Linked DNA regions of Pelodiscus sinensis. Each later gene encodes a partner of the first gene's protein in a complex. Links are inferred from orthologs where the notes say so. Each region holds a gene or a part of one and is shown in the gene's direction. Other genes may lie near its edges.

The links.
Region 2: STRN (region 1) and PDCD10 share a complex: the UniProt entries of both Homo sapiens proteins name them as parts of the core of STRIPAK complex. The link is inferred for Pelodiscus sinensis from reciprocal best matches to the Homo sapiens genes STRN and PDCD10.
Region 3: STRN (region 1) and STRIP2 share a complex: the UniProt entries of both Homo sapiens proteins name them as parts of the core of STRIPAK complex. The link is inferred for Pelodiscus sinensis from reciprocal best matches to the Homo sapiens genes STRN and STRIP2.

Annotation. Positions count from the first base shown.
Region 1 is NC_134713.1:137,172,268-137,179,245, reverse strand, and holds the start of STRN (striatin), read left to right. Parts: upstream 1-3,977; 5' UTR 3,978-4,010; coding exon 4,011-4,280; intron 4,281-6,978. UniProt on the Homo sapiens protein: Calmodulin-binding scaffolding protein which is the center of the striatin-interacting phosphatase and kinase (STRIPAK) complexes.
Region 2 is NC_134720.1:37,052,248-37,059,921, reverse strand, and holds the start of PDCD10 (programmed cell death protein 10), read left to right. Parts: upstream 1-4,628; 5' UTR 4,629-4,765; intron 4,766-7,674. UniProt on the Homo sapiens protein: Promotes cell proliferation. Modulates apoptotic pathways. Increases mitogen-activated protein kinase activity and STK26 activity. Important for cell migration, and for normal structure and assembly of the Golgi complex.
Region 3 is NC_134711.1:4,396,672-4,404,446, reverse strand, and holds the start of STRIP2 (striatin-interacting protein 2), read left to right. Parts: upstream 1-4,737; 5' UTR 4,738-4,776; coding exon 4,777-4,893; intron 4,894-7,775. UniProt on the Homo sapiens protein: Plays a role in the regulation of cell morphology and cytoskeletal organization. Required in the control of cell shape. Calmodulin-binding scaffolding protein which is the center of the striatin-interacting phosphatase and kinase (STRIPAK) complexes.

The DNA of each region.
Region 1 (6,978 bases):
GTCATTAGTTGTCTGCTAGTTTCCCTCTGCCTTTCCTGAATTAGCATAACGAATTCTTGTTGTCTCCTAATTTCCCCAAAAGAGTCTTGTTTTACCCTAGCACTTTTTTTCCTGTCAGAATTGATTTTTTTTTTTAACTAAACAAGATCACTGGCAATTCATAAAAGGCAAAGAAACAAATCTTTAAAATGTGAGTTTAGAGCCAGCCGAGCAAAAATGAAATGCTGTAGGAAGCCAGTTTAAAAAAATGTAAAACAGGTAAAAAATGTTAATTGAAGGGAAAACAGGCTCAGAAAGCGATTGAGGGATAAGGGAGTGGCAGATGAAAAGAGAGGCTTTTTCTCATACAGACATACTGGGTTCTCATGCTTGTTTAGAAACAAGCCTCTCAAATTTTCCATCCACGTGATTCTGTCCTTTTCCTGCTCCTCAGGCAAAAAAATGATTTCATATAATAATATAATAATCTGGTTCCAACCTTCATTGGATTATAAAGCAAAATAACTTGGCATGCCTTCCTCACTTTTGTTCTTCCTTTGTGTTCTTCATTATGACTTTCCCTGTTTTCATAGTCTTTTTTTCAGTGTCTCTTTTCCCCCGAATTACCTTCTCTCTACTTCCTCTCTCAATTTTTCTTTTTTCTTCCCGCACTTCTTTTGCTCCCTTTCTCTTACCTCTCTTGCTTTTTCCCATTTCCTTGCTATTCCTCATTCTCTCTCCAAGATACTTCAGGGTTTTTTTCCCTTCGGCCAGAGTGAAGGGATTGCCTAGTATGTTCCTCTGTGTAGTTATAGTGATCTCTCATACTCCTGGGGAAAGAAGCAGGCAAGCACTGGCCTTCTGAAGAAGTGACAGCTGGCCAGCAGCTAACAGGAAATACTGGTTTCAGAAGCTCAGCAGCAAGTCCTTGTCTGTGCAAAATATGGTGAAGTCTCTGGGACTACTCAGTGCCTTCACCATTGATAAGCCTGTAGAAATGCTAAGCTTATGCTAAGACACTGTAGTTGGTGACATACTGAATGTTGCTATTGCTTACAGAGCTTGCATCATGTTTAGTGTCTTTACGTATTCTTAGTAATAGAGATGTAGCCGTATTAGTCTGGTCTTGCTGAAACAAAAGACCATATTCTTACATATTCTTGGCCTTTGTAGCTTTATTCTGGATTTGGCAATCCCAATCCTCTTCAAGAAGGCTCCTTTTATTAATGTCTGTGTGCATCTGTAGTAGGTCTTTAAGTGGACCCAGGCTGAGAGAAGCAGCAAAGCCTCACATTGTGAGGTCCATAGCAGCTACAGCAGAGGAGGAGGCTCTAGCTTCCCTCCTCCTTAAACACCAACTGTTGAATCCATCCCCTTGGACGAGTCATTTTAGAAGTTTAGGCTCCCACTGTCCTTTCCGAGGAGGCTGTTTCCCAGGACGCTTTCTGCAATATGGTCCAATGACTGTCCTCAGCATTCTCCTGCTAGAGAGAACAGAGCTTTCAAGGCAAGTTTCCTTCTGAAGTTTGCTGGGATGCTTTACACGTCTCAGCACTGCTTTTCCTTCCCATGCAGGGAAGACCAGTCCTCAGAAGGTTCTCCTATGCTGAATCCTTACAGCTATAGTTCTCAACGAGGGGTCCAAGGTCCCTTTAGGGGCCATGAGCAGGTTTCAGGGGATCTGCGAAAGCAGGGCTAGCATTGGATTCACTGGGACCTGGGGCAGAAAGCCCAAGCCCAACTGCCTGGGCCTCAAAATGAAGTTTGAGCAATTTAGCTTTACAGGGCTTCCTGTGACATGGGCCCCTGGACAATTCCCCTGCTTGCCCTAATGCCAGTGTAAACCCCCCTCCCCTCCAAAAAAAAAAAAACCCCAGTTGCTGTAGCATAGATGGGTCATGGAGTTTTTATAGAATGTTGGTTGAGAACTCCTGCCTTACACCACCATAGGTCTTTGAACCTACTACTCCAGACAGTTCACCTTAGAATTTCTTCCTTGAGGCTGGGGAAGAGGCTGGCCCATACACAGTGGGGGTATGAAGGGTGCAAAAGCAGTCCCCTGTGGTTCCCCAAGTAAGCATGCTCTGGCTGGCCAGGAGAAGCCAGGAGCAGTGTGCTGCTCCAGCCTCCCTCCCCATGCTCTGACCAACTGGGGGAAGACGGCTGATTTCCTCACTTCTTGGGGCCCTATGGGGGGGTGCATTCACACCCTTGCAGTCCACATTCACACACAAAAAGCACACATACTTAGAAATTACTGCATACTGGCCTGAAAGGTGCGCCATAATTTTCTGTGCTCCAGTTCTCTGTCTCCATCCCCTTACAGTTGAGGGCATAGGCGTTTTTTACTCCAGCCATTTTTTAAATAGCCTTAACCTAACCTTACTGTTAGGAAGCCACATATCTATGCTACAAAATTGTCAACCGATATACAGGCACCATCATGATTATATTGCTTCTGTGTGTGCTTGCTTGGCTTCTTGTGTTGATGGTGTATGTCCTCACCAGTAGTGCTTGAATCTATTGTATTGTCTGTGTGGGGCACAGTGGGATGGCTCCTGAAAGTGTAAATACTGCCTTGTAATTAGCTAAGTTGTCCTTACTTGAAACTGAGGCTTTGTCTAGACTGCTGGCTTCTTTTGGAAAAAGCTTTTTTTCGGAAGAGATCTTTCAAAAAAAAGCTTCTTCCAAAAGACAGCATCCACACTGCAAAAGTGCATCGAAAAAGCAGTGTGTCCAGACTGAATGGACGCTCTCTTGCAGGTAAGCTGTGATTGCTATGGATGGAATGGTCACGAGGGCACTTGTGTTTTTTCCTCTTTCCCCTTCTTCCGAAAGAATTCCCTTTTTCCACACATGCCTTTTTGCGAAAGAGCTTTTTTACAAAAAGGCTTCTTCCTCATAGAATGAGGATTACCAATGCTAGAAAAACCCCTCTGTTCTTTCGATTTTCTTGCTGAAGAATGCAATTGCAGCGTGGACATTCCTCAAATTTTGTCGGAAAAACAGTTGTTTTTCTAACAAAACTCTAGTGTAGACTTACTCGGACATGACGCTGCTCTAGGAAGTGGTGTTACTAAATCAGCACAGAGAGGCACTTCAGTGGGAACCAAAGGTAAGTTAAGTTAGTTTAATCCAGTTGTGTAGTGGAAACTGAGAGTGGGCTGTGCTTACCTCTATTTTCTAGTCTTTGAAGTCCACTGTAACCAGTGAATAGACTTGCTTCACTGCCTCCCAGGGCAGAGGCTGCACCAAGGCCTGAGTTCAGTACCTAATGGATATTAACTGTGAGGCAGGAGTAGAAAGTACTTGTACTATTGGTGCTTCCCTGAACGGAGCAGCCTTAGCTTTGTGCAAAGTTGCATTATGTTGCTCTTGTAGAAATTATTATCATGCTGCCAAGGAAGGGATTATTCTGAATACAACTGCTGGCCTCTGTCTCTCCCAGCTCTTAAGTGTGCCATCCAACCTTACAGAAGATAGGAGCATTTCTCATGGCTAAGGGGTGGGACAAATGGTTAATTTCCTTTGGCATTTTTCATGGTGCTGTTGACAGCGGTGGCTCTGTAGGTCTGTCCGTGACATGAGCAGGTCCCAGGGAGCCAAGACGCTTGGGGAGGGGCCGGAGCTTGGTTTTGGGGTGAGGGTAATACGGATTGTCTCCTCCAGCCTCTGTTGAGGGAGGAATGCAAACGTGGGTCTGCCTGGAAGGCGCCTGCTCACTTCCATCGCCTGGAGCCACAGCCCTGGTCTGAGCTGGCACAGGGTGGGATGCTTTCTGTGTTGCTCAAGCATCCTACCCTGTGTCAGAGAATCAGAGACCTTGCCCCGCCAGCGCCCAGCTTCCAGGCGGGACTAGGGCCCTGGAACTACATTTCCCAGAATGCCGCGGGACGGGTCGGAGCGGAGTTGTCCCCGCCGGGCCTCGGTAGCAGCCGGCGGGGGCGTCCTGTCAGGCGGCGGTGACGGCGGGCGGGACGCGCCCAGGCTGCTGCTGCTGCTGCTGCTGCCGGGACGCGGCGGCTCCGGCCATGGACGAGCAGGCGGGGCCCGGCGTTTTCTTCAGCAACAACAACAACAACAACGCGCTGCTGCTGCCGCCGCCGGGCGGGGCCGGGCCGGGGCTGGAGCCGGGGGAGGCGGCGACCGCGGGGGGCTCCTTGGCGGCGGCCGCCCCGGCCCCGGTGTCCGCGGCCCGGGCTCAGTACAGCGTCCCCGGGATCCTGCACTTCCTGCAGCACGAGTGGGGCCGCTTCGAGGCGGAGCGAGCCGAGTGGGAGGCGGAGCGGGCGGAGCTGCAGGTAACGCGCCCCCCCCCCCCCCCTTTCCTGGTCCGGCTCCGCTCGGCTTGGCCCGGGCCCCGGCCGCCCCTTCCTGGCGTCTGAGTGCCCCGTGTCTCCCGCTGGCAAAGGGCAGCGCTGGCGGCCTCGCCCCGGCCGCGCAGCGTGGGGTGGGTGTGGGGGGCGTGACACCCGCGCCCCCGGCCCGGCACGCCCGCCCCGCGGTGGGGGACGCTCCTGTCCCCGCGCGTGGAGCGGCAGCGCGCTGAGCCTGTTGCCGTGGCTGGGGCTTGGCAGCCGCTCGCAGCGCTGTCCTAACTCCCTGGCTTGTCCCCTGTCAGTTTCACCTGTGAGCGTGTGGCTGGTCTGCAGACCCCCTGCTGCACGAGGGTTTGGCGTGTCCCGTCCCACCCGTTTCTTATTTCTCCCCTTTTATCGCTCCTTGTTTCTTGGAATCGTTTCAGTTTCTTTCTGTTGCTTTCTGACACTGAAGCGAGGAAGGAGGGGTGGTGCCACGTGCCCTTCTATTCTCACCTCTTGTGTGGGGAGAGAAGTTAAATGTGTTTCTTTCTGGGTGCTGTCCATCCTAGAGTAATTGGGACCTTTAATCCTCCAGCAGTGGTAGCAATGATAGAAGGCGTAGAGGAGGAAAGACCTTGGCATCTTTAGTGCCTGCACTGTAATTCTTCTTGTTGACCTTTCTGACTGTAGAAGATGTTGACAACAGTTTTATGGCTTGCCAGTATGGCGGTGGCTAACAAGACCCATGCAAGAGTGGCAGTCCTTGTTCCATGGGGTGCATAGGTAGTTGGATGCTGAGAAAAAGATTACAATCTGTGCTGAGTTTGCTGCTACTTAGGACACAGCCTCTGTGTCGCAAGAGTCCTGCCGTGCATAATTTCATATTGGGTAACCCCATCATTGACTACTGCATATTCTATTGCTTTTGTAGTATTGTCTGTACTATGCTACAGTTTCTGCTATTGATATGTCCCAGAGTAGCTATATAGTGAAAAAAGAAGCATCTTAATTTTCCTAGTGTAGACAAGGCCCAAAGCCTAATAGCAACTTGCTCCTTGGGACAGAAAGTAGGCTAGATAAGAGTACTCTCATCCTCTCATCCTTTCCTAGGCTAAGAAGTTATTGTTCTGGTCAGTGACAAACTATCTAGAGCTACTACTCTCAGGCCATGTCTACACTAAAGGGCTTACAGTGGCACAGCTGTTCCAATGCAGCTATGTCATTGTAAGGTAACTCCTGTAACTGCTCTGTGTATGGGAGTTGCTTTCCCCCCACTATGGAATCTGTAGGGGTGGTCAGACTTTTTGGCCTAAGGGCCGCATCTTGGTATGGAAACTGTATGACTGCCTGACGTGGGTGGGAGGACTCATCAGGTGTGGCATGGGGAGCTCTATACTGAGGTGCGTGGAGGGAAGATTCTGTAGGAGCAGTACCAGGGACTTCTGCAGGCATGGCTGGCAGTGACATCAAGGTGGCTGTATCAAGCATTGCCACAGGCGGAGGCACCCTACCTGCAACCCTTAAGTGGTTTGAAGGTTCCTGAAGGTGAGGCGGGAGGAGGTTGGGTGTGCTGCAGCACAGGGGCAGAGCTGCCACTTAGGGGCAGGGTTCTGACCTTGGAAGCAGCAAGGTGAAGTTGTGCCTGTGCTTTATGGTTATCTGCATGTTGTGGAAGATGGTGGAAAGGGGCTGAGGAGTGCCAGGTGGTCAGAGCAGTGCAAGCCCTCGCTCCCCAGAGGGAGACAGATACAAAAGTTTGCTATGCTGAATGTGGTCCACGGGAGTTTGCCCAACTCTAGTGCAAATTATGTCACTCTCGGGGGTGTTTTTTTCCACAATCTGAGTGACATGAATTATACCAACAAAAGTGCTAGCGTATACATAGCCTCAATTACCACTGTGATTAACATGCTGTAAGAACTGTAATAGGAGAGGGGTTTGTCCAATCACTTGCAGATCAGTTGCAAAGTGAATTTGTCGTAAACATCTCTGTCCAGAATCTTAATTAACTACCTATCTGGTTCTCAAAGTTACCATATTTGAAATTAAAAGCTATCCCCAAGTTCTCTTCTTTATGTTTCCCTATTTGTTTTCTCTTTCCTATCCCTTTGTCCTCTTTTCTTTTCATATTCCTTTCCCAGTGTGCAGGAATTTAGGCTTCTTTCCTGTTTTTATAGGTAGGAGCATCTCCTGAGTTTTAGAACCCTGCATGGATACAAAATTTGTATCTGCATCCCCATCCACAAAAATGAGCTGTGAAGATCCGCATCTGCAGATATAAAGTGGATACCTACAGATATGTTGGACTAGAGTGATTTTGTTAATCCTTCCTGTGAGATTTATCAGGAAGGTCTTCTGAACAGGATTGCAGGTGTAATGTTCGTCTGTGGTGATTCCCTTGTACAAGTTTTAAAAAGTGCTTGTGAGCACAAGGGAAAGAGAAGGACACATGCTAGTCTGACCTGAAATGATTAACTGCAGAATTTGTCATTTAGTTACTGATTTATTATCTGTATTTGTGTCTATTTCAGACACATGTTGAAAATAATCTGTCGATTTGGTAACAAGTCTCAGAGGGATAGCTGTGTTAGTTTGTATCTGTGTTAGACTAAGATTTATTTGAGCATAAGCCTTTGTGGGTAAAAACCGCTTTGTCAGATGCATCTGGCGAAGTGGTTTTTACCCACGAAAACTTATG
Region 2 (7,674 bases), on another chromosome or scaffold:
TCCGCTGGCCGCGTGCTCCGCGGTTTTGCTCTGCTCTGCTCCCCCTGGGGACGGGGAGCAAAGCAGAGCAAAGCCGCGGAGCCCGAGGGCAGCAGGATAGCCACAGCGCGTCTGGGCTGTCCCGCTGCCCCCGTTCTCCGCGGCTTTGCTCCTGACGCCTGTGGTACAGCAGCTGGGGCGCTGCCGGTTGGTCCCGTAGCGCCACTCTGGGTGGCGCTGGACCAACCCAGCAGCACCCCAGCTGCTTTGCCCCAGGTGTCCCCAAGTCAGCCGCTGCTGCAACCCCGGGCTTCCTGGAATCAGCTGCTGATCAGTTTCAGCAGCAGCTGACTTGGGGATGACTGGGTTTCTTAAGTTGAATCTGTATGTAAGTCAGAACTGGCCTCCAGATTCAGCCGCTGTTGAAACTGATCAGTTTCAGCAGCGGCTGAATCTGGACGCCAGTTCCGACTTACATACAGATTCAACTTAAGAACAAACCTACAGTCCCTATCTTGTACGTAACCCGGGGACTGCCTGTAATAATAATAAAAAAAGAACCAAGTGAAAAACTACTTAGAAAAGTCAGATGTCTTCAAGTCACCAGGGCATGATGAAATACATCCTAGAATACTCAAGGAGCTGCTAGAGGAGATATCTGAGCCTTTAGCTCTCATCTTTGAGAAATCATGGACAGCAGGAGAGATTCCAGAAGACCGGAAAAGGGTAAATATAGTGCCCATCTATAAAAAGGAAAAATAAGACCAATCCAGAAAGCTATAGACCAGTCAGTTTAACTTTTGTGCCAGAGAAGATAATGGAACAAGTAATTAAGGGATTCATCTACAAACCTCTGGAAGATAATATGGTAATAGAAATCCATGCTGGCTGTTGCCTACTACCATAAGAACAGCCATACTGGGTCAGACCAATGGTTCATCTAGCCCAGTATCCTGTCTGCCGACAGTGGCCAATACTAGATGCCCCAGAGGGAGGGGGACAACGGGTAATCCTCACATGATCTCTCCCATCATCCAGCCCCGGAGAAACAGAGGCTAGGTATACCATTCCTACCCATCCTGGCTAATAGCCATTGATGTACCTAACCTCCATGAATCTATCTAACAGGGTTCAAAAAAGAGCTGAAGTCCTAACCTTCACCATGTCCTCTGACAAGGAGTTCCACAGGTTGACTGTGTGCTGAGTGAAGAAAGAACAAATTATGTCAAACCAATCTAACAGCTTTCTTTGAAAGGATATCAAGTATTGTGGTTCTGTTCAATATCTTCATTAAGTATTTAGATGATGGCACAGAGAGTATGACTATTAAGTATGCAGATGATACCAAGCTGCTTTGGAGATAAGGTCAAAATTCAAAACAAATTGGACAAATTGGAGAAATGGTCTGAGGTAAACAAGATGAAGGTTAATAAGGACAAATGCAAAATACTTCACGTAGGAAGGAACAATCAGTTTCATACATACAGACGGGGAAGCGACTGTCCAGGAAGGAGTACTGTGGAAAGGGATTTAGGGGTCATAGTGGACAACAAGTTAAATGAGTCAACAGTGTCACACTGTTGCAAAAAAAAGCAAACATGATTCTGGGATGCATTAACAAGAGCGTTTGAGCAAGACACGCAAAGTCATTCTTCTGCTTACTCTGTGCTGATTAGGCCTCAGTTGGAGTATTGTGTCCAGTTCTGGGCACCACATTTCAAGAAAGATGTGGTGAAACTGAAGAAGATCCAGAGAAGAGCAACAAAAATGATTAAAGGTCTAGAAAACATGACCTATGAAGGAAAGCTGAAAGAATTGGGCTTGTTTAGTTTAAAAGATATAAGACAGAGGGGACACAATAGCAGTTTTCAAGCATCTAAAAGAGTGTCACAAGGAGGAGAGAGAAAAATTGTTCTTGTCTTCTGATGATAGGACAAGAAGCAATGGGTTTAAATTGCAGCAAGGGAAGGTTAGGATGGACATTAGGTAAATCTTCTTGTCAGGGTGGTTAAATACTGAAATAAACAGCCTAGGGAGGTTGTGGAATTTCCATCACTGCAGATATTTAAGAGCAGGTTGGATAGATATCAGGGATGATGTAGATCATGGGTTCCCAAACTTTGGGGATGCCCCCTGGAGGTGCATGAAGAAATTCCAGGAGGGGCACAAGACATCCCAGCCCCTTCCACCCCCATCAAGTTTTGCTGCCCTGGTCAGTTTTTTTTTTTTTGCGCTCAACAATTTTGCTGCTAATTTTTTTTTCGGGGGGGGGGGGGGGCGAAAATGAGGGGGTCTCAAAAAATCAAAAAGGGGGCATGAATATAGAATATTCTTCTATATTTTTAAACAGAAGTTTGCATTATTAAACAACTTAATTTAGAAACACACAGTTTATTGTCCTTATGCACATGTAAGAAACAGTTTATGTCTGTCTCACCCCCTCCGCCCCACCCACACATCCTCCCATTGATTTGTTTTGTGGACTCTGCAAAGCACAAGACACTTCACCCAATCCGTAGCCCTCCCCCCCATCCCTTCATAGGGCTTACCAAAACAAGACCTACCATTACAACTATAGAAACAAATGTTTTTGGGATGCCAAATGAAGTTAAAAGCTATTAATGATATTAATATTTTTGCACATTACACAAATTTGAGGTCTTCCTCATCAATAATTAGAGATGTGCATTAATTGGTGTTCAATGGATGACACAAAGGTTAAAAATAAAACAAAGCAGGGCACAGTGAAGGGAATACCTTTATTTTCTAATTAGAGCATACCACTGAGTTACCATCCTGTGTATGGCTTTCATTATGCATTCAGTTATTGGGACCTAACAGGTGATGCACGGTTCCATGTTGTGTTGTAGTTCCAAATACTTGAGATCTCTGTTTCTACACTGCAAAGTTGGAGCTTGTATGGCATGTATGGTGTTCCATAGACAGTCCCTTTTTGTTGCTAAAGGGAAACTATTAACCATTGGCTATATCATCACTTACCCATTCATTCAGCTGTTGTAAGCCTTTCATAGGAAAAGTGCCATCATTATCATTTTATACAGTATTCTTAAACTCTTTACATAGAGGTAACAAATTTAAGACACCTGAATTTAAAGCCAAATTTTTGACATGTTTAAGTTTTAATGTTAAAGTTCAAAAGCTTTTCTGTAACAGTAGCTCTTAGTAACTAACCAATGTTAGCATGGCTTAAACAGGGAAAAGGATGGACTTAGAACAATGATATGATTTTGACCTTTACAGTACCTTTGATTTAAAAATATGAAATTGCTTTACATAATTATAATACTTTTATTAATAACAAGTGTTACATACAAATTAGTATCTAAAATAATTAATATACAAATAGTCTGGTAAATATACATTGGCAGAGGAGGCTAGTCATTCTATTGAGATGTCAAGAGATGTGTGAGATTCTGAAGGAGGGAGATTTCAGATATGGCGTGTTGTGTATTTTAGTCACAAAATACAAAAGTCTTCTGTTACAAAGAGAAAGTAACTTTATACTCAAATTGAAAAGTTTTTCTACTGATAGGGTACACTTACAAACTACATATATGCACACACAGATTTTTTATATATATATATATATATATATATATATATATATATATATATATATATATATATACACACACACACACACACACACACACACTAAAGTATCCACCTGTTTTAAATACTACCTCTGCACTCATTCTCAAGTAATTTAAAAGTGAACACCTATAATTAATTTATTTTATTTCTTTTTCAGTTTTAAGAACTTCTTCAGAGTTCTAAATAGCTTTGCTGTAGAAAACAACACATCCTGAATCGTATCAACAAACAACCGATGCTGGTCCCAGTTTACAGTAATTGACACAGTCGTAAGGCAAGTACAACAAATCCACGACTCCGTTCTACAAATCTATAAGGGATGTGCATACACAGTCTATAAAAAACATTAGAGCGTGAAGAAAAACCGTTTTATTTAATACGGTAAAAGATTTTAGGGGTGGCGACCAACCTATCCCTAGACGAGGTAACAAATATCGACAGCCGGAGCCAGGAATTTATTTCACACGTTGTGAGCGAGCTGTCTGAACAACTGACAAGTGAAGTGGGTTTAAAGCACTCACACATACACTGCACACGCACCAGTGTTCAGCCATAGTCAGAGGGAGACTTTCCAACAGCTCCCTACAAATGCAACGCAAAGTCAATGGACGTGCAAACATTTAGCATGCAACAAAACAGAGAGTCGGCGAAAAAAGGATTTCCTAGGGCGAGGAGCCCACCGCAAGCAACCAGGTCGCCCGCCCAGCCAAGTAACTGATAGCGCTTACCTCCCTCGGAGCGGTTCTGCAGCAGCTGCGAACGCTAGAACGGGGAGCCTGCCGGTGTTGGAGCAGCCTGTGGTCCAGAGACCGCTTCAGGAATTGTTTCTGTGGCGTCTGCCGACGCCTGCAAATTCTCACGCCTGCCCCGCCCCTTTCGGGACCACGCCCCCTCGTCTAGTCCGGCACTCCAATTGGGCTAGCTCTGCGACGACTCCTCCTCCAACTCTTCCTACTCCCCCCCTTCTACGCCGCAAGCTGGCCCTCGCGTTGCCTTGTGGGCGTTGTAGTCGTGTGGAACGGCACTACAGGTCCCAGGAGCCCATGCGGCTTGCAGGTTGGTTCCGGCAACGCCTGGTGTGTGTGGTCACCGCGGGGAACGTTTCCGTCTCGCAGGCACTTCCGGCAAGGCAGCGGAGCCCACTCTAAAGTCCCCGAGGGGTGGGGGGGAGGTAGGTACCGGGCTGTGTGTGCCCCCTTTTCGGAGGAGGGGGGGACGAGGCGCTCGGTGCCCACGGCTCGGGCAGGGTCACTAGTGTGTTTGTGTAGGGCCTGCTGATTCCCTCGCGGCTGCGCTGCGCTCGGGGCGTAGGGCGCCTTGGAGAATCCGGGCCCCGCCTGAGGGTCACGCTCAGAGGGGCTGTGGGTCTCCAGTGGGGCGGGGCAGGCCACGCTGTGGAGGAGGGGCTGGCCATGCCCAGGGCCTGGGCTCCTAGGGCTGGGGGCGGGCGTCTCCCCCCGGCAGAGAGCAGCAGGCGGAGGTCAGCCCGTGCAGGTGCACAGCCGGACCCGAGCCCGGGGAGGCTGCCCTTCGGCCCTGTCGCCAGGCTTCGCTCTGCCCCCGCCGCGTGCCGGAGGCTAAGGGTGTAGTGCTTCTGGCTGGCGCTGTTCCGCACCCGTCTCCCCTTTGGGCCACCTCTAAGGGGGCCCGATTTTCGGACGGAGTAGTTTCTGAATGGCAGGCTGAGCATCCTCCCTCACTTGGAAAAAAAAAGTCTTGGTCTGAGTGCATCTCTTGTGTGCCCTTGGCATGGAATGTTTGGAAACGGGGCCTTGGTTTGATTTACTAGTTTGTAAACTATTTTCAGGACCTAATGATAGGAGCAGCTTCTCTTTTGTAGTTGGTTTGGTTTGGGTTTGCGGGTGGGGGTGGTTGTTTTTTGTAACGCCAATCTTCTAGCAGTGTGTATGAGAAGCCGAAAGTGAAACTGACCTATTTGTTATTCCAGTTTAATAAGTGGCAAAAAAAAGCAAACAACGTGAATGATTAGTTGCTTTTTCAGTTTAATAATGGAAGAGGAACATAAGGAAAACTTAAAACAGGCGAATTTATGACCTTCCAAAGTGTCTACAAGCAGTATCTGTAACTCATGCTTGGTTGATTTCCCCTCCTCCAGCATGACAGTATCAGGGTCAAGCTTTTGTGTTGCTTCTGTATTACAGGAAATAAGTTCACCTGAAGAAGATCTCTGTGTGGCTTGAAAACTTGTCTCTTGCCATCAGAAATTGGTCCAATAAAAGATTCCCTTCTTGTGTCAGCTTCACAATTTACTTGGTGGGCTGGGGTAATATTGAGATTAGTGTTACATAATGGTTTTTCTTAAATATCTGTTCTATTTTACTTTCTAGCTGCACCTGATTAAATCTCAGAGATAGCAACAGTAGCTTTATGTTCAAATTCCAGAGACTGAATAGGTAGAGAGAACTTGATCTAGAAACTGGTGTATATTGTCACCTTCTCCATGTTCATTGCTGGGATTACATTGCATCCATGATGATAATCTGTTGCTTTACTAAATAAAGGTGTGGGATCTTTGCCGATTTATACTTTATGCAGTCACTTTAATTTGACTATGTACAGAAATTGGAGCCCACCCTAAGATGGCTTTCTTGTGTAAGGGATAGATAGAGGTAAACATAGTTCACTTTTAAAACATCTGCCTCTTGACTGTGAGGTGTTAATCTCACATTGGTGTTCACCATTTCAGAATAATGTATTTATTGGAATGGGAGTAAATTGCAAAACTGGTGAGATTCAGATCAGTTTTTTAATTAAGTAGACTGTAGGGATGAGTAACCAGTTACCCAATAAGCATCACCTTTACTGGGTGATCCTTACCGGTAACTGCTTAACCAGTGGCCCAGCTGGGCTAGAGCAACCACCTGCCCACAAGATCCTGGTTAAATAGAACGTTTAACATTCTTTTTAACTGGTTAACTTTTTAACCAGGATTTTACATCCCTAGAAAACCAGTGGTTTGAGTTCCAGGGACAGATATTCATGTTTCCTTTAAATGGTTTGCACAATCTAAATGGTGGCAGTCAGTCATATTCAAAACAATAAAGTGTACCTGATTTCCGATATGCAGTTACATTTTTATTGTAAGTGAACACAGTTATATTTATAAATGCTTCTATGTTTTCTATATAAGTATAACATTTTTGGAGACATGTCTCAATAATGACTGTAAGGATATAAATTACCTGATTTTAGTTGGTTTTGCCAAGCACATAAAACTTTATTGAAATAGCTTATTGTCACATAGCTTAAGTGTAGCCATAAGTGGAGGATCTTTACTTTTGGAAAGTTTTTGCATAAACCAGTTTTGAAACTTTAATGGGGTATTTCACTTTCTGAAAACATTCTTTTAGTTCCCTGATCAATGAAACTGCTCAGTGTGTGAGGCAGGGTAGGTGAGAATCTATACAAATAAATGCTTATTCCTTCTTTTATTTTATTTTCACTCAGATTAGCAAAAATTTAATTACAGTGGCTGAATTTGTCTTGGACTCATGTTTGGTAAAATCATTCAATGTTGTTCCAGTGAATGCAACAACATTTACTCTAACTAAACTAAATTTTCATTCAAAAATAACAGGTCCTTCAAAAGTGCATTGATCAGGAGGTTTGCTGCAATTTTTCCTGAAATGAAGAAAAATTTAGTATAGTGGCTTATATTTTGTCCAGAGTTGGTTAATCATTTACAAACCTGAGTACAGTTTAGTTACTCATAAAGTTGAAACATGATTAAAACAAACCAATGTTATTTTTCATCAAATCACAAACATTGCCACCTTGCCTTCACTTGGTGGCTGAATCAAGCTCCTCCTGATAGGAAATTTCTGATTACAAAGATAAAAGCCAAGCTTCCTGATTCTATGGATGGAGGATAGGGTCTACTCAGGACAAATGTTTTTTCTCTAGTTGAGTTTAAGCCAGTGACAGTAGAAATGTTGGGGGTTATTGTTCCTCAACCTGACCTCTTTTGAATTTTTTTTTCTATCTAGAGAATTTGAGGAACCAATTAGTGCTTCCCATAGTGAGGGTAGGATGGTGACTTTTCTGAGGAAATTTATTACT
Region 3 (7,775 bases), on another chromosome or scaffold:
TGTTACCCGTTGTGTTCGTGCCTGAAAATCAGTTGCTATGTTTAGAACATAGGAACGGCCATATTGGGTCAGACCAAAGGTCCATCTAGCCTAGTGTCCTGTCTGCCGACAGTGGCCAATGCCAGATGCCCCAGAGAGAATGAACAGACCAGGGAATCCTCACATGATCCGTCTCTGTCCTCCATTTCCAGCTTCTAACAACAGAGGCCAGGGACACCATTCCTACGCATCCTGGCTAATAGCCACTGATGGACCTAACTTCCATGAATTTATCTTTGCTGAACTCGGTAAAAGACTTAGCCTTCACAACATCCTCTGGCAAGGAGTTCCACAGGTAGATTGTGAAGAAATGCTTCCTTTGTTTTAAACCTGCTACCTATTAATTTCTTTTGGTGACCCCTAGTTCTTATGTTATGAGAACAGGCAAATAACTTTTCCTTATTTACTTCCTCCACACCAATCATGATTTTATAGCCCTTAGAATCTCGGCAAGGGGCATGCAGTGAAGAGCTTCTACCTCCCTCCTGCTGTGTTCATTTTGTTCTGGGATCTCTGTCTCTTTTCCTACATGCTGCTGATTAAGTTATGGGTGAGCTCCATTATGTCTCTGGAAGGGGTGATGCCTTTCCACTATCTCTGATTCCAAATCTAGCCCCAGATAACCGTGGTTTCAGATGTGTAGAAAATCCTCTGTAGCCATCTATCTTCTCCACGAGGCCTGACTTTCAAGCACTGTCCCAAATCGTTACTAAGGAGGACAGGTAATAAACTCTCTTTACCTGGGTTATTGTGGTTTTAACCTTATGTCCACAGTCGCTTTGGCACCCTCAAAAGCAGGAGTGTTGAACATCCTCCCATCACTGTCCCAAACTGCCTGGAAGTGACCAGTCACTAGAAAACATGGCTCCTTGGCTCTGCAAAGTTGACATCCCCTGATGCTCTGATTCTGTGATTCTGACAGGAAAGGAAGGGTTTAATCCCGCTGCTGCTGGGCCTTAGGAAACGGACGATGAATGTGAGTGTGATGTAGTCCCCAGCAGCGCTGCTCTAGGAAGGCCTAGGACTAGTCCCTCCCGGGAACCAGCTGAGCCAGCGATGGGCAACCGAGGCTGGTGAGTGGCCGCAAGATTGTTGTCACCAAGACGCTCTCCCAGGATCGGGTAGTTTTGCTCACTGCACTTGCGTAGCTAGAATGTGCGGGGGGTGCCGATTGCACCGTAGCAGCGCTGGGACTGGCTGCAGAGGGAGCGCCCGGCGCTCACATTCAGTGTTGTAGCAATCAGCCTGCTCCTCACTCGACACACACGGGCGGGTCACTTCAGTAATAGTGGTAGGGAAAAACCGACACTGACAAAAACCAGCAGAATCTGGCAGCCCTGCGTGTGGACAACAGTAAACAAAATGTCTCGTAGGCTGCACGTAGAGCCCTGATGTGCCGCAGGCTGCCTGCCACTATGCTAAGCTCTGGAAGCCTGGAGTGGGGGGGGGGGGGGGGGGGTTGGGGTTTGTCCTTTCTCTGAGCACTGGAAGAACATTTCATTTTGGCAATGGGCAGGCAGCCAGAGACCCCTGGAAGACTCACAAGGGCAGGATCAGGTCCCCTGTCTGGTCAGGCAAAATCCTGCAGAGCCCCAGTGAACTCATTTGGAAATGTCTGGAATGTGATACAACGATGCTGAATAGTCTCATTCCTCGGCCAGAGATGCTGTGTCACCGTGGACGCTGCTTTCTCCACTACAGACCTTCCCGTCCTGCTCCCAGAGTGCTTTGCAGCACTGTGAAGAAAGCGTGGTCTCCTTTTACAGCTGGGGAAACTGAGGCACGGAGCCACACAGTGACTTTGGCAAATAGTCTAATTCTGTTTTATATTTCTTCAGTCGCTATTACTGCTCTGTCTGTGGAAAGACACAAGGGGCAGTTCGCATCCCCACGGCGCTTGCAGTCCATTCCTAGCCAAGGAAGATGGTAGACAACTACTGGCAATAAACACTTTTAAATCCACCCGAGTAACTTGCCCCCAAATGCTCAAAATGAGTTGGAGATCTCTCGCCGCCTGCTGTTCGTTTTTAGTAAGTATTGGAGCCGGGGCAATTCCAGAACACTGGTAGAAAGCTAATGCTGTGTCGGTACTCAGGCAGAGCCGATACAGGACTCTAGATAAAGAATTAATGAACAGGAATATAATTAATGACAGTCGACATTGTTTTATGGAAAACAGGTCTTGACAAACAAACCTGATTTAATGCTTGGGGGTTTGAAATTAGATGCAACATATAAAGGCTTTTGAAAGGTGTTTGACTTAGTACCCCACGACAGTCTGATCAGAATTGGCAGTCCCCCGTAGTAAGAGAGCACATGTTAACTGGAGTAAGAAGTGGCTAACGGAGCTCACTCTGTAGCTGTCACTGGAGAATCACCCGCTCGGGTGTTTTGGGGGGGAGGTTGCAGCGATTGGTATTTGGACGGCTTCTGTGCAATATTTTCAGCAATGGGCTGGAAGCAGTGTAAAAGTGCTGCTGATAAAATCAGTGGCTGACACACAGACTGGCCAAGTAGCACAAGAGGTCAGGAATTCGTACGGAGCCAAATGCAATTTGCCTAGGTCTCAACAAAGATGCTAATTTCCTTACCCATTACAAAGATAGCTTCCCCAATTATCACCTCTAATATCATTAGCTCAGACATTAACCTCCCCACCTCATCCCCCCTCTGTTCTGAAATGTGATTTGTCCTTTTTATACGTGTTCACTTTTTTTGATTGTATCCCTTTGGTATATATGGTCAGGCCAATTTTCTTCCACAATTTGATCTGAGGAAGTGGGTCTGGCCCACGAAAGCTCATCACCTAATAAACCATCTTGTTAGTCTTTAAAGTGCTACATAGTCCTGTTTTTTGTTTCAGCTACACCAGACTAACACGGCTACATCTCTATTACTCTTGGAACAAGGCATGGAGACCATGGCGGATGGGAAAGCCGTGCCTTTGAAAAAGCTGTACAGGGGTCACAAGGGACAAGCTTCCAGGTGGGTGATGCTGTGGCAAACTGGGCTAGTGTGTTGTGGGGTCTATAACGGTGCTCAATGGGTGAGGAAAGAGATGCAAACAATGTTAATGGGGGGTGATTAGGGAAGTGGTGGGTTCTCCTTCTCTTGGTGTTTTCCAATCAAGACTGGAAGGTGTTTTTGTCAAACACAAGTGGAGGGGAAAATGTAATGGCTGGTACTGTGGAGGTGACTTCACATAACCTGGTGCTCCCCTCTGGCCTTAAAATCTAGGGGTTGCCCAAAGACACACACAACATCTCCATCAGAATGAAGGCGGGATCCAAGATCAACGGACAGTGAGAGAGGCAGATACAGCGAGCCCTACTGAGTTTCTTGGGGGGGGGGCCGGTTGAGAAGTTAAACTGAGATCCCCTCTGCTCGGTGTTTTTATCACCACCTTGGCCATTTGGACTGAAATTTCTGCCCGTCCAGTTCTGCGATGCCCTTCTGGCTTTCAGCTTCCAACCACAGGCAGCTGTTGTGACGGGACAGACTGAGTCCCTCTGGTTCACAAAGGGCATGGGAACCCGGCCTGAGGAAAAGTGCTGTGGCCACAAGGGAGAAAAAGCCTAACCCTGTGACGCCCTGTCTCCCCTTTCACACGCCCTGGCGTCTGCCTCGTTTCCACCACTGCCCTGAGAGTGAATCCTGCTCTGCGGTGGCCATGTCTCTAACTCCTGCCACATCCCACCTGCTGCCACAGGCCTTCTGTCCCTGGGGGCAGCAACCTCCCTCCTTCCCCTTAGTGCCCGCGGCCTTTTCACACCGTCCCAGCTGAGGCCCCAGCCTCTCCCATGAGAAGAGCCACACTGGGTCAGACCAAAGGTCCATCTAGCCCAGAGTCCTGTCTGCTGACAGTGGCCAATGCCAGGTGCCCCGGGGAGACGGGGGGAAGTGAACAGAACAGGGAATCATTAAGTGATCTCTCTCCTGTCACCCATTCCCATCTTCTGACAAACAGAGGCTAGAGCCACCATCCCTACGCATCCTGGTTAATAGCCATTAATGAACCTAACCTCCATGAATTTATCTAGCTCTATGTTGAACCCTCTTCAAGTCCTGGTCTTCACAACATCCTCTGGCAAGGAGTTCCACAGGTTGTGCGCTGTGCAAAAAAAAACCACCTTCCTTTTATTTGTTTTAAACCTGCTACCTATTCATTTCACTTAGAGACCCCTCATTCTGATGTGATAGGAACAAGGAACTTTGCCTTATTCACTTTCTCCACACCTGCCATGAATTTATAGACCTCTATCATCTTCCCCCTTAGTCTTCTCTTTCCTAAGCCGAAAAGTCCCAGTTTTTCTCTCTCCTCATGGCACCTGTTCCAAGCCCCTCATCATTTTCGATCCCCTTCTCTGAACCAAGGTGCCTTTTGTGAGCGGAGGCGCCCACCCACCTGCAGGCAGCATCCAAGCTGTGGGCGAACCGGGGCTTCATACAAGCTCCGCTCTGTCCCCTTTGAAGCGGCGCCCACTGCTCCTTTACCCTCCCCTGGCTGCAGCTTGTCCCCCAGCCCAGGGCCAGACCACATGGTCTAGTGGTCACCCCAGAGTGTCCTCTCCCCCCAGCCCCGCCCTGGCAGCCGCTCACGCAGCCAATCGGCGCCTAGGGGTGTGTCCCCGGCGGAGACAGCCAGCCAATGGCAGCGCGGGGGCGTGGCGAGTCCCTGGGTGGAGGGGGGGGGGGGTTCAGCCTGCACGTGCTGGCGCGGGCAGGGCAGAGGGGCGCATGGAGGAGACCGGGGCGGCCAGCAGCGCCCTGCCCGGGGACGGGGCGCCCGGCAGGGGGAGGCCGCTGCAGGCCAAGGGGCGGGAGCTGTTCAGGAGCCAGCGGAAGGAGTCCGAGGTGAGAGAGGGGGGGCACCCACCCCCCGTCCCTCTGGGGGACCCACCCACCCCCCCGGGCACTCAGCCCCCCCGGGAACCCACCCAGCCCCCCCGGGCACTCAGCCACCCCCCGTCCCTCTGGGGGACCCACCCAGCCCCCCCGGGCACTCAGCCACCCCCCGTCCCTCTGGGGGACCCACCCAGCCCACCCGGGCACTCAGCCACCCCCCGTCCCTCTGGGGGACCCACCCAGCCCACCCGCCTGCCCCCCCTGGGAACCACCCAGCCCCCCCGGGCACTCAGCCACCCCCCGTCCCTCTGGGGGACCCACCCAGCCCCCCCGGGCACTCAGCCACCCCCCCGTCCCTCTGGGGGACCCACCCAGCCCACCCGCCTGCCCCCCCTGGGAACCACCCAGCCCCCCCGGGCACTCAGCCACCCCCCGTCCCTCTGGGGGACCCACCCAGCCCCCCCGGGCACTCAGCCACCCCCCGTCCCTCTGGGGGACCCACCCAGCCCCCCCGGGCACTCAGCCACCCCCCCGTCCCTCTGGGGGACCCACCCAGGCCCCCCGCCAGCCCCGCCTGGGAACCACCCAGCCCCCCCGGGCACTCAGCCACCCCCCCGTCCCTCTGGGGGACCCCCGCAGCCTGCCCCCCTGGGGATCCACCCACCCCCCCGTCCCTCTGGGGGACCCAGCCAGCCCCCCCGAGGGCACCCAGCAGCCCCCTGGCCCCCCCCAACCCCGCCGGCGGAGGGGCCCGCCCCGTCCCGGGGAGCTGCTGGCGGGGGTCCCGCGGCTGCCCTGCGCCTCCTGCCCTTTGCTCGCAGCCGCGCGCGGGGCCCGATCGCTCCCGGGCGGGCGCCTCCCCGGCTCCGGCGACAGGTGCCTGGGGCGCTGCGGCTCCCCGCGGGGCCCGGGCAGGGGGCGGCCCGTGGGGCGGGGAGGTCGGGGCCGCTGCGGGCTCCCCTGCCCGGCTCGCTTTGCAGCCCCCGCCCGGAGGCGCGGCCGGGCCGGGACGTACAGGAGCAGCTGGGGTCGGCGCCTTATTGCAGCCTCGCTGCAGCTCCTGGCAGCCTGGTGGGGGAGGGGGGCTCAGACAGCAGAGGACTGAAGTGGGGAGGGACTTGTCAGCCCCCCCCCCCGGGAACCAGCGCTGCACCCCCAGATCGGAGGGGCGCTGGAGGAGGCAAGTTTTCTCCTCCCGCACCTAGTGGCAGGGCCATGAGCTGGCACCGGGGTGGTGGGTGCACCCTCGCTCTAGAGATGCACCGGCTGGATGACGCCTGCTGCGTAATGAGCCCCCCGGGAAGTGGAGATGGGGGGGGGGACCTGTCAGTCTTCTGCCAGGTTGGGGTGCTGCCTCTCGCCAGGCACTGGGAACCTGCCCTCCTCCGGTGACTTCATAATTGTTCATTCCGGGGTTTCTTCCTCCGAAGCGCCGGGCCGGGGCACTTGGAGCGAGGCTGCTGAGTAGATGGATGCGGGCAAGCCACAGGTTGGGCGATTGCTGCCGAGATCGTGAGCAGCATTCACACTTGGCTGCATGGGCGACTCGTGGTAGCACCCAGGAGGAGCACTGCCCCCCGCCCACAGGCCCCTGTCAAAATTCGGATTGCTAACCGGGGTGTTCCCTCATGCCCCCTCCTTGTTCCTCTGGCTGGCTCTCCCTGCACTCCCTCCCTCCCTTGCGCTTGATGGAGCCTGCTGGATGCATGGCAGCTGGAGAGACAGTCCAAGAGTTTATGCTGCTGACGGGGCACGGGGGCAGATGCGCATTGGAAGGATGCACACGCCAGCGTTGGGGCTTGCCAGACCCGCCAGCTGGAGCGTAGATTTTAAAAGGAACCGGTAGCGTGTTAACAAGAGGGGGTCACTGTGGGAAGGATTCCGGGAAGGGGGGGGCGAGGAATTGACGGCCATTGTGTGGGATCAAAGACGGGTCCCTCTTCCAGCATGGGGGAGAGCGACGAGGCGCTCGTGGGGGAAAGAGCAGGAGGGCGGAGAGGGAGGCCGGAATGGCAGAGGGCAGGGTCTCGCTGAGATTGATGAAAGGTTGATTTCACAGGTGCAGGAAGGGACCGTATGTCTAATAGTGCAGCACCAACGTCCTGTTCTTCCCCCCCCTCCCCCCGCAAAAGCCAGCCTGGGCTGGCTGAAGGTAGCGCAGTGGGGCGGGTTCTCCGGGGGCCTCACGGGTAAGTCAGCAACCTCCGGAGCCTGGGATGGAGGATTCGAGTTCCCACCAGGCTGACGCTCTTCGGGGGCTCTCTAGCTCTGATTGGGGGCATCTCGTCTCCGCGGCTTCTCTTCGAAGCCAGCACTGAGCCAGAGCGGAGCTCAGCCGCTGCTCCGATTAGATCTGGGTACGAATGTGATGGATGAGAGATGCCGGACACGCCGGGGTGATCCTGCGTAGTGAGAGCTCGGTGCGGAGAACATTGGTGGACGATAGGACGCGGTCTCTGAATAGTCTCGTTCCTTCGGCTGTAAAAACCTGCCCTATCTGTTCTCTGGCGTTACGGGTTGGAAACTTTAGTTTAACCATCGCTGCTCCTCGGGCGTGGCCCTGGCCAAAGTGCAGGTGAGGCGTCTCTTTCCAAGGCGCACCCCGGTGGCCTGGGCAGACGGTGGAATTCTGGCCTTGGGACACAACCTTTCAATCCGTTTTCGGGTCAGAAGTGCAGCGGTCGTTTTGGTTTAGCCGTCTCTGCCGGGGGGATTAACGTTTGCAGGCGCCACTACTTAGCCGAATTCCTCTAGAGCTTTAGTGCGCCGACCGTAGATGGCCAGCGCGCTGGATTTGGTCCCCGCGTTGGTTGTGTGCTGTCGAGGCTCCCTGACGGCGTGAGATCAAAAGTCAGAGCTGGAAGGGAGGGTCAGGCAGAGCTGGGGGCGGG